3 linked regions of the Ovis aries genome follow. The protein of the gene in region 3 purifies or fractionates together with the protein of the main gene of each other region. This does not show direct contact. Links are inferred from orthologs where the notes say so. Each region holds a gene or a part of one and is shown on either strand. Other genes may lie near its edges.

Evidence for each region.
Region 1: the proteins of IRAK1 (region 3) and PELI3 purify together in Homo sapiens (affinity purification with western blotting; 7 studies listed by BioGRID and IntAct, with this or other methods). This does not show direct contact. The link is inferred for Ovis aries from reciprocal best matches to the Homo sapiens genes IRAK1 and PELI3.
Region 2: the proteins of IRAK1 (region 3) and TOLLIP purify together in Homo sapiens (affinity purification with western blotting; 11 studies listed by BioGRID and IntAct, with this or other methods). This does not show direct contact. The link is inferred for Ovis aries from reciprocal best matches to the Homo sapiens genes IRAK1 and TOLLIP.

Annotation. Positions count from the first base shown.
Region 1 is NC_056074.1:40,941,585-40,945,226, reverse strand, and holds part of PELI3 (E3 ubiquitin-protein ligase pellino homolog 3), read right to left. Parts: intron 3,641-3,642; coding exon 3,446-3,640; intron 3,128-3,445; coding exon 2,939-3,127; intron 1,312-2,938; coding exon 742-1,311; 3' UTR 1-741. UniProt on the Homo sapiens protein: E3 ubiquitin ligase catalyzing the covalent attachment of ubiquitin moieties onto substrate proteins. Involved in the TLR and IL-1 signaling pathways via interaction with the complex containing IRAK kinases and TRAF6.
Region 2 is NC_056074.1:46,576,296-46,579,385, reverse strand, and holds the end of TOLLIP (toll-interacting protein), read right to left. Parts: intron 2,479-3,090; coding exon 2,267-2,478; 3' UTR 585-2,266; downstream 1-584. UniProt on the Homo sapiens protein: Component of the signaling pathway of IL-1 and Toll-like receptors. Inhibits cell activation by microbial products. Recruits IRAK1 to the IL-1 receptor complex. Inhibits IRAK1 phosphorylation and kinase activity.
Region 3 is NC_056080.1:80,278,524-80,282,910, reverse strand, and holds the start of IRAK1 (interleukin-1 receptor-associated kinase 1), read right to left. Parts: upstream 2,817-4,387; 5' UTR 2,733-2,816; coding exon 2,336-2,732; intron 2,214-2,335; coding exon 2,082-2,213; intron 1,967-2,081; coding exon 1,863-1,966; intron 1,708-1,862; coding exon 1,519-1,707; intron 1,273-1,518; coding exon 1,208-1,272; intron 1,002-1,207; coding exon 887-1,001; intron 505-886; coding exon 386-504; intron 1-385.

The sequences.
Region 1 (3,642 bases), on a different chromosome or scaffold from region 3:
AGCCCTTAGCCCCTCCAGTGAAGCCTGTCTCACTTCTCACTTTTCCAGCCACCCGTGAGACCTGCTTCGAAACTCCTGATGACTCTGATCCTAGCACACAGGAAGCAATGCTGTCGTTCAGTAATTGGTCTGTCGTTCAGTTACTGGGGAGGGAACCAGGCAGGGAGCCAGGTCTGTGTCCCCAGATAACACTTGGCAAGGAGTCCAGTCCCCAGTGGGTATCCGCAGATGTCGGTCCCAGCCTGCCGCCCACCCGGCACTCACTCGGGGGCTGGAGGCACTGCACGCATGCGGGACACGCAGATTCGTGAAGGCAGCTGAGCAGCAGGTTTATAGGGGAACCCAGGGCAGCAGCGGTGGGGTGATTATCTAGAACTGGGTTGGCAGGCTCAGGGCACAGCCAGCCTAAGCTGGGGGTCAGGGACCCATGGTCCCTTCATTCCCCCAGGGGCACAGTGTAGGCGGCATGATGGGGGATGCCCCTAGAAGGGCTGGGGCAATAGGGCTGGGCCTCCCTCCAAAGCCCAGGACAGAGCTGGTGCTGAGAGCCTCATCATTCTGTCCGGGGTGGGGGTCCAGGGACCCCCTCTGGAGCCCAAGTTAGGAGGGGAAGGGCACCGCCCACCCAACGCGTCCATCTGGCGTGGCGATGAGCCAGCAGGTAGTCTCACATGCAGAGCTCCCTGGAGGTGGGGGACCCAGGCGGGCAGGCAGGCGCGGCAGCAAGGGGCCCCGGGAAGCCTAGTCCAGCGGCCCCTGGAAAATGAGGCGGACGCAGCCATGCTCGCCGGTGAGCCAGGCCCCACAAAAGGGGCAGGCAGCGTGGAACGCGTGGGTGCCATGGGGCAGTGGCGTCTGAGCCCAGTAGCGGGCAGTCTTCTCAGAGCAGACGTGGCCGCAGGGTGCAAAGGCGTAGCTGGGTGGCCCAGGGTCCAGGCAGAGGCCGGCCTCCTGGCCAAGCCACAGGGGCACGTAGGGCCCCACGAGGCGGCAGAGGGGACACTCGCGCTCCTGGGGGCCCCGCTCTCGCCGGCAGCCCCAGCCGTGGTAGCCGTGGACATGGCCGCAGCGGACATACACCCAGGGCTGCTGCTTGTCGGGCGCTGTGCGACCGCGCGCCGGGCTGGGGAAGGCCAGGGTACTGAGGCCCACCGGACACTGGGGCCGAGCCGCGTTCGCCTCCTGCCGCTGGGCCTCCAGCTGCTTCAGCGTGGGCGCCCGCAGCAGCCCTGCCGGCGTGCGCCACAGCAGCGTGGCCCCGCACAGGTCGATGAGGGAGCCGTCCTGCAACACGTTGGACTCGTTTTCCACCTGCAGGGGCAGCAGAGGGGGCCCTTTGTGCCCAAGGGGCTCCTGAACCCCCAGCCATCCGGCCGCCATCACCCCAGTCACGCCACCCATCCATTCCCCTGAACCTCCCTGGAGGGAGCACCCTGGACCCCCGTGGGGCTAGCTGGGGCAGAGAGGGTAGGCTGGGGCAGAGGAGGGGAATGGCTGGGGCAGAGGACCAGAGGAGGCTAAGAAGCCCCATGGGCCAGCAGGAAAAGTGGTCCTGGGGAAGCACCATCCCCCAAAAGCCAAAACCCCCAAAACTAGCAGGGACTTTCAGTGGTTAGGGCTCTGCACTTCCACTGCTGCGGGCATAGGTTCAATCCCTGATTCTTCTAAGTCTTCTAAGATTTGATCTTATCTTGCAAGCCAGGCAGCAAGGCCAGAAAAAAATAATCCCAGGCAGGCACCATGCCTTACTCTCATTGGAACCTGCGCCTTGGTCATTTCATCTGTCAAATCAGAAAGCCTGGACTCTGGACTGGGTCTTCCCTCGTGGGCCAGTAGTTAAGACTCTGTGCTTCCCCTGAAGGGTGTTCGAGCCCTAATCGGGGAACCAAGATCCCACATGCCACATACTGGCCAAAAACAAGGCCTGGACCAAAATGGAAGTTTTCTAAAACATTTTCTCAAGCTCATCTTCCCTGATGGCAGAGGCCAGAATCTCCTGTGTCCAAAACACCAGGGACTTAGCCCAAAGCCTAAGGGCTGAGGTTAAAAGCAAGGACTCTAGCGCTAGATAGTCTGGGCATGAATTCTGGCCTCAGTGTTTACTAACTCTGTGTCTCTGCTCAAGGAACTTATCCCCTCCGTGTCTTAATTTCCTTGTCCTCAAGATAGGTTTTACTTCCCTGTGTAGCAAGTGGGTCTCATGAATCAGTGCGAGAACTTGGAACAGTGCCTGGGACCTAGTAGGTGCTCAGTAGCAGGTACCAGTGAGAGGCTCACAAACCTAATTTTACAAAATAACGTTTCCCCAGATCTCCCAGTGGAACTGAGGCCCTGGGAAGATAAGCCATGCTTTTCCTCGAGGCTCGGCATCTCCTTGCCCCATGTGCTCACACCTACGAAAACGTCTATGTGGCCCCTTTGAGGATCGTGGCCATGTGACGTTGGGCAAGCCCCATCTCTCTCTAGGACTCTCCCAGCTCCCAACATTAGGTTCCCCATCACCTGTGTTAGCACTACTCTAAGGCCCTTTCCTTCTAGGAAAGAATAAAGCTAAACTTGCCTGAACGTGACAGACATGTTAAAAACCACCAACACTTGAGGCTATAAACTGCTCACTAACAGGCCAAGTGTCACTCTCATAAGAGACTGTGAGTTTCAGCTGCTGACATCCTCAGAAGCGTGTGGAGCTATACCAGGTTCTGTGTGTGCTACTTCACATCACCCCGTGGGCCTCTGGCAGTATGTGGGCCACATCTGGAGATGCTGGTCTGGTCCCCTCTGTGGGGCAAACGGCGTGTGCCCCCACATGGAGCCTGTTGGGGGCTGCCCCGTGCAGCAGGACTGGAGATCACCTCCTGGCATGGGCAGGGGGCAGGGCAGATCGGGAGGGCCCCGGGAAGGACAAGGGGATGGGGAGGAGGGTGGACAGGCCACCTACCAGCTTCCCCCGCTGCTGTGCCGAGCGGCTGTCCCTCAGAGTATACACATTCCCACAGACCGAGATCTCCCGCCAGACACCCGGGGCTGAGTCCTCAGAGAAGCCGCCTGCTGGGTGCATCACCAGGACCCCGTTGGTGGTTAAGCCGTCCATCAGCCCGTCGGGGGTCCGCCATTTGGCTGCCCGCTCCTGGGACCACACGTGGGATCAGATCACATCCCTGAGTGGCCCCCAGCAGGCCTCGAGCCAGGAGTGCTGCCCCTCTACCCTGGAGCCCAGAGGTGGCCCAGAGAGGACTGGAATTGGCACTGTATGACCTTGGGCATCACTTGACCTCTCTGAGCCTCACTTTGCTCATCTGCTAAGTGGGGGTGCTGATCCCCGCATAGGGTGTGGTTATGATTACTGCAGGCTGGTCCATCACCCCTGGAGACTGCCCCTCCCCAGCCTACCCCGGGGCTCACTCTCAGATGCAGCACTGGTCCCTGCCTGGGAGTGCTCACTCACTCCAAGGAAGATGTTGCTGGAGGCATCGAAGCCAGCGGCGTAGATGCGGGCAGTATAGGGTGGCCGGCGGTCACAGAGGATGCGGCAGGCGTAGCGGGAGATGGTGCTCTGCGCAGAGGGGCCCTCGGCAGCCCCTCCCCCGGGGGAAGTGTCTGTCACCACGAAGTCAATCATGTTCTCTGTGGAGCGGCCAATCT
Region 2 (3,090 bases), on a different chromosome or scaffold from region 3:
TGTTTTCGAGGCACCTGAGGACTGTCATTTGCCACAGACCAGAGCTCACGCGTGAACTGTTTTTAATCACAGACCGGAGCGCACGTGTGTGAACTGTTTTTATCACAGACCGGAGCTCCCGCGTGTGAAGTGTCTTCACTCTCCAGAGACTGGAGCTCACGTGTGTGAATTATCAGAGACCAGAGTTCACGCGTGTGAATTATTTTCACTCATCGCAGACCGGAGCTCACGTGTGTGAATTGTTTTTATCGCAGACTGGAGCTCACGCGTGTGAAGTGTCTACACTCTCCAGAGACTGGAGCGCCTGTGTGTGAACTGTCTTCGCGCTCCGCAGGCCGGAGCTCACCTTGGAACCGAGGGTGCTAACATCCTCTGTAGGCTTGCTCCCTGCAGGCTTCGTGCCTGCACGCCAGGCTCCGTGCACACACTGAGCTCCATGCTCACACTCTAGGCTCCCGGGCAGAGTCCAGCCTCTGCCCTGTGCCTTCACTCACTAGTCTGCTGGTGACCGTTTCATCAACTGGCTTATTACAAGCCAGATTAAAGTGGAATAAAAACAGTAAATTCTCTTTGAAGAACTGGACTTTGTTTTTACATAGATCATTTATTAAGTTAGAAGGCTGAAAGGTACAAACATATCTTACAATCAAAGAGGAATCTGGACCCTGGACCCCAACAGAATGATCTGAAACGCAAAGCTCCAAGGACCATTTCTGCAAACACCCAGCAGGGCTCCTGAAACGGGAGTGGGGTGGGGAGCCTGCTGTACACGCCTCTCCTCTCCGACACCAAGCAACAACCACCTGTGAGGCACCCCAGTCCTGGGCCCGGCAGCCACAGGCGCCGTGCTTAGTGCCCCCCGAGGGGCGGCCTGGACACGAGCACGGACGTGAGCAGAGCAGCAGGGACAGCAGGGCCACCGGACATCTCGAGGCCCTACTGATGCGCCCTCCTCTGACCCAGTGCAGCAGCAGGCGTCCGCGACAAAGGACCCCGAGCTGGCAGGTCTCAGCCACCCTGAAGCCAAGTCTCCTGTCCTCGGAGGCCCAGGCAGGGGGAGGCGGCGGCGGGGAGGCAGCGTGGGGCCGCCCGGGCTGGGGTCAGCCATCAGAGTTGCGCTGTGTGGTCACCGTGCTGCAGCCAGCGTGCGGCTGTTTAGCCGCTGGTCTCACGCATCTACCGAGCGCCTGCGGCAAAGGCACCGGTGGTCTGAACCCCCCTCGCAAGCCTCCCTGCCACCGGGCCGCCACGGGAGGGGTCTGGTTGGCTTGACCGCTGGCCAGCTTCACGCTAAGCCTACGTCAGGGACAGGACTGGGGTCTGTCTGAGTCCTCACCGCCTCGGGGTGGGGTCTGTCTCCATGTCCAGAGGCCGGGCAAGGCCTCCAGGCAGAGCGGCAACCGTGGCTGGCCGCACCGTGTTCTCATTTCCATGGGGCTCCACCCAGCTGGCCCCATCCTCAGTGTCCACGGCCAGAGGCGGCAGGGTGCCGCCCACACCGCAGGTTGCCTCTTGCCTCTCGGGAAGACCTCCCAGTGCCGGCGGTCACCACGCTGACCCAGCCTGCGGCCCAGCTTCCTACACAAGGTCGGCGGTGAGCTGAGAGTTCAGAGGCCTCTGACAGACGGGGACGAGGGCTGGGTCTGCTCCCGACACCCACCTCAGCGAGCTCTACAGTCAGCGCGCGTCTGGGGGCGGCGACCCCTCGGGACAACACGGCATGGAGGGCGAGGCAGCAGGAAAGACTACGGGGCCGCGGGCTCAGGACGTGGCTGCAGACGCCAGGCTGGGCCCCGAGGCAAGGTCCACCCGACCCCAGCGAGGCGCCCAGGGAGACCGCCACGGGGAGGAGCGGAGCTTCTTGTCCTGAAGCCCTAACACGACCCACAGCAGCTGTTAGTGTGTCTACCCAGGCAGGCGGCATCATGAGAGACCACCTGTCAACCCAGAAGGGGCCCAGCACCGAGGCCCTGCGGGGGAGCTGCTCCCAGGAGAGGCTCCCGGGAGGACGGCCAGCAGGAAGTGGGCGTGTGCACGGGACGCGCCGCCTCCACCCTTCAGGAAGCGAGAGGAGAGCCACCCCCCCCCGCCCCGACCACGTGGAGAACGGCTCCAAGAACCAAAACCACATGCATCCCAACGAGGGCGAGGACGGCAACACGGACGTCCAAGGAAGGGGCTACGCGGGGCATGTTCACGGGGATCTGCTGGGGACAGTGCTCGGGAGAGCTGGGCGGGCGGGCAGGCGGCGAGACGGCGGGCATGTCTAGGACTCCTCGCCCATCTGGAGCAGGGAGTTGATGGCTGCGTCCCTGCTGCCCCGCTGGGCCTCCAGCACGGAGCGGATCACCTCCCGGTCCATGTTGGGGAACATGTCCTGGATGGCCTTCAGGTCCTCCTCACGGCAGCGGGGCTGGGCGCTCACGGCTGGGGGCAGCGCCACAGGCACCACGCCGGGGCTGCACACGGCGGGCATCCCTGCAAGCAGAGGCAAGCTCAGTGGGCAGCCCCTCTGCTGCGGAGCCCAGGTCTCACCTGAGGTCTCCCCCACAACACGACCCCAGAGATCTCCCCCCACCTCCAACATGACCCCAGAGGTCTCCCCTCACCCCAACATGACCCCAGAGATCTCCCCCTCACCCCATGACCCCAGAGGTCTCCCCCCACCCCCGACATGACCCCAGAGGTCTCCCCCTCACCCCAACACTGCCCCAGAGATCTCCCCCTACCCCCGACATGACCCCAGAGGTCTCCCCCCACCCCCGACATGACCCAGAGGTCTCCCCCTCACCCCAACATCACCCCAGAGATCTCGGCCCCGGACACTGCCTCTCAGATAGGCCAGACGCTCAGGAAAAATGGGGGTGAGCAGACCTCAGCCATTTACACCACGGGGGTCAAGCCCTCGCACCACGGCCACCCCCAGCTGCCACCCCCCCAACCCCGAGCACCGAGACTCCCCCGCCGGCCCCTCTGCCGGCCCTCCAGGACAGGCCTTCCCAGCTGGGCACCCAGTCCCAGTCAGACCCCGTCGAGGAAGGAGACCCCACCGGGCCCAGCGTCCTGAGGACGGCAGACCCCCCCCTGCTC
Region 3 (4,387 bases):
TGCCTGGTCCTGAGACAATCAGACCGGAGCCACTGACGTGCACCTCAGTGGCGGATTGTGGCCCGTGCTCATGGTGTTCTGGCCACTTGGGGCTCCGAGCAAGTGGCCCCCAGAGCCCCATCCTGCAGTTGAGGCCCTGTTCACCAGTGGAACCCATCCTTGGCCTCCATGTCCACCCCTGGCCCACACTGGGTGCTCAGTGACCCTCAGACCCCAGCCCTGACGTCCCCTGTTCTCAGGGGGATCACTCAGGGCCAGGCTCCTAGGGACCAGGCAGCAGGCACCCCCGGTCCCTGCTGGCGGGAGGTGTGGGAGCATCACCCCTTGCCATAGGGCTCTTGCCACCCTCAAAGGCCCCCAGGGACTGGCCGTGTCCCCGCCTCACCTCTTGACATCTCCATGGATGAGGCTGGGGCTATCTTGATGTAAGAACTGAATTGCCCGGGCTGTGCCCAGAAGGATGTCCAGTCGCTGAGGCCAGGAGAGAGGGGGCCAGGCCTGTGTCTGGAGGGGCACAAGGAAGAAAGGGGAGACCGTGGAGCCACCGTCTTTGATGCCCATCTATGCTTCCCCTGAGCGCTGAAGTGTCAGGTCAGAGATGCTCCTGTCTTGGGCTTGGTCAGCCCTTGTGTCCTGCGGGCGCCTCTCTAGATGGGGCCCAGGGGCTGTCCATTGCCTCTTGCCCTCTGGGCAATGCCGCCAAGATCCTTCCGCTACTCTGTTTGCCCAGGGGAGCAGATGGGGCCCCTTTCAGAGGCCCCATGAGCTTGGCTTCCAAGCATGAAGAGGTCCCGATCACTGAGGCCAAGGACCCCAGCCCCATGTCCCGCTTGGACCAGGTGCCAAGAGTGACACAGTGTGCCAGGCCAGGCCAGGCAAGGCTTACCTGGACGTGGAGGCGGTCTTCCAGGGAGCCATTGGGCAGGAAGCCATAGACAAGGCAGTAGAAGCCACTCTGAGCACAGTAGCCGGCAAAGTCCACAATGTTGGGGTGACGAAACCTATTTGAAACAGTGGAGTCTCAGTGCTCTGCTCCCAGCATCCAGCACGCCTTCCATCTGGCCATTGTTGGGGGGTGGTGTAGGGTGCCGATGGTCCCTAACCAGGTTTCCCAGCTCGCCTGGGCCTGGCAGGCTGCAGACCAATGGGGAGCCAGGTCCCCGGACATGTGGTCCTGGTGGGGCCCTGCCCCTGCCTGCAGGCTCACCGCGACAGCTGCTGCACTTCGGTCTGGAAGCTCTGCTTCACTGTGGTCCACTCCAGGTCAGCCTCCTGCAGCCCTCGGGGAGAATGAGGCAGGGGGGACTGGCAGTGTGAGACTCCTGTGGCCCGGACTTCATGCCCCCCACCCCCCGCCACCTGTTCTGGGCCCAGAAGGAGCACGGGCCTGGGGGCCCTGGACTGTGAAATCACAGGGCTGAAGGAACCCTGTGGGGTTGCGAAGGGGGTGGGGGAGGACCACAAAAGCCCGAGTCTGGGAACAGCCCTTGAGGGCCCTGGCGAGGATGCTCCACACACCTCCTTGAGCCTCTTCACAGCATAGACGGTGTTCCTCATCACTGCCCGGTACACACAGCCAAAGCCGCCCTCCCCGATCTTGAGCTCCTCTGAGAAGTCGTGGGTGCCCTGGCAAATCTCATGGAGGGGCCAGCAGAACGAAGAGGAGGGGGCCGCCGGCAGGAGGGGCATGGGGCTCTCCGGGCTGGGCTGTGGGAAGAGACCCTGTATCAGGTGAGGTCCCATATCCTCCCCTCTGCCTCAGCCCACCCTTGCAGGGCTGCCTGGGGTGGCCCAGGGGACCAAAGGCAGCTGTCACTGCTTGCTGGCATCAAACCTCTGGGTGGGGGGCAGGACCCACCTACCTTGGTAGATGAGGGGGCTGGAGATGGCAATGGTGGCTGGTGGGCAGCTGGGTTTGGTCCAGGGCAGAGCTCGGGGTCAGAGTGAGTCTGGGAGCCTGGAAAAGCTTCGCAAAGACACCAGTGAAAGGCAGGCAGAGGCCAGTGGCAGGATCTATCGGGGTGGCCAGGAGCAAGGGGGTCCTTTCCTGAGGTTCATCAGGCCAACCCGGGTTTTCTTACCTGGGGAGAGGAAGGTGGAGGCCAGAGACGGCAACTTCCGGTGGCCGGGAACCGCAGCCTCAGAGGGTGTGGAGATGCTGCTGGGTGTCGGGGAGGTGGTGCTGGCGGGCAGAAGCGGGGCGGGAGGGTGCCCTGGGAGGCCGGGGAGGGAAGGACGTTAGGCCCAGGCTGGAGGGAGGAGCTCCGAGGCAAGCCCTGGGCGGCCCCTGTCCCAGGGTCCTGGGGGTTCCGGGGGTTTCCGGGGCCGCGCTCACAAGCAGTGATGATGTCCCGCGCCCGCAGCAGCTGCAGGTGCGTGAGGATGCGCACGAGATCGGCCACGCGGGCGTTGCGGTTGATCCACGGCCACAGGACGCTGGCTGTGCGCTGCCCGGAGCGCTCGCACAGCCGCAGCTCGGTCTGGTCGCGGACGATCAGGGCGGCTGCGGGGCAGGGGGGCGTCAGGTCGCGGCGTCCGGGTCCCGCGCGGCTCCCCGGCCCGCCCCGGCCCGCCCTGCCGGCCTGCGGCCACCCACCGAACTGGCACCAGTCGGCGGGCTCCAGGGCGTCCATCACTTTGTAGAAGCGGCACATGACCCAGGGCGGCACCTCGTACAAGAAGTGCTGGGCGCCGGGGACCGCGGGGTCTCCTGGGCCCGGCCCCCCGGCCATGGCCGCCGCCGCCGCCGCCGCCGGGCCGGGGCCTCTCCGGGCCGCGGCGGGCGCGGGCCTCGGCCGGCCGGGTCCGCGAACACTGACTCACTTCCCCTTTAAGGCGGCCTCGTGCGACGCCCGGCGGGCCGGAAGGGGCGGCACCCGGGGCTGCCGCCACCGCCGCCAGCCCCGGCCACACGGGGGCGCCGCGCGCGGTCACGCCTCCCGGAGGCCTCGCCCCGGGGCCCGGCGAGGCGGACGGGTGAGCTTCCCGGAGGAGGAGGGCTCCGAGGGCTGCAGGAGAGCGCTTCTCGGCCCCAGGGACGATGGACACAGCGAAGGCCTTCCAGAAAGGGCTAGAAGCGGGGCTTCGGAGAGCCGCTGGCTGGTCCTCTTTAGGTTTCTGTTTCGTGGGGAAAGCGGTGGAGAGGGGTCAAGACATCCAGGGTCAGATGTGGGTCACACCAGGGCTCCCGGCTGACTCTCTGCAGCTGGCTTGTGAGGCTGGGGGCAGGAAGAACGATCTGGAAGCTCGCAGCATCTCCACCCACCCCCTGGGCCCTGGATCCCATCTTTTCTTGGCCCTCCCGGAACCTGCTCCAGCGGTGGTTAGGTCTTTGCAGCAGCTGCCCTCTTTTCTTCTTCGCTGGCTCCTTCCGCTAGCACAGAAAACGTGTTTACTACTCTCTTAGAGACAGACCTTCACTCCGGCTGCCCTCCACCCTCTTGTCACGCTTGAGGATGGCGGGCTCTGGCAGCTCCCACCCTTTTCTCTGAAGCTCACTGAGCGCCATACTTGGCCTATCTGGCGTCTCCCCACAGGCCTCCGGCATGCCTCCATCATTCGCAGTAGCAGTAGCAGCCACAGTAGCAGCCACCAGGAAACTGTTACCTCTCTGAACTTCTCTGGAGTTCCTCTCTTCCCCACGGGGCTCTGACCTAGATGAACCTAAACGAACATGCTTCCCTGCCTCCTCTCAGCTCAGGGGTCTTACTTAGACACAAAGCACTTCACATCAATTTTTCTGCTTAAGACCTTTCCGGGGTTCCTGAAGCCCTCTGAGGGATTGCAGCTTTTCAGCACGGCTTCTGACGTTGTCACCGTGTGGCGCTTTCCTGCCCACCTGTCTCGCTCTTGGCACTTGGCAGCAGCCTTAACCCAGCCACAACTCCTTGGGGTTCCGAGAATGTGCCAGGGCTCCCACCCTTATGGGTTTGCACTTGTAGCTCCATCCAGCAGATACTCAGGTAGCTGGAAGCTGGCCTGGAGTCCCCTGGCACGTCCTTCAGCCTCAGCACTCATCTGCTTCCCCGACACCCCTCCCCGCCTCCCGCCAAGCAGCCAGGGCGCCGTCCTCTTCTGTTTTTTCCAGCTGGACGCCAACTTGAAAGGCAGGTCTTTGCTAGCCACCCCCTTATCCACTTGATCCTGACCCCTGAGGGCTGCCACCCTCCCCGCCCGCAGGCTGTCCATCCAGAGACTTCAAGAGTGGTTTGCAGAAACCAGGTCAGCCTGAGACGCACCTCTGTGGCAGCCTCTTCCCAGAAGCTGCAGCCACTCCGCAAGAGGAGGCCAGCCATGCCCTGAGCCCCAGTGGCTTCCCATAGGGACAGCTCTTACCGAGACTCCCAAGCTGTGGAGGGAACTAGTGGGCACACACATACTAAGTGAA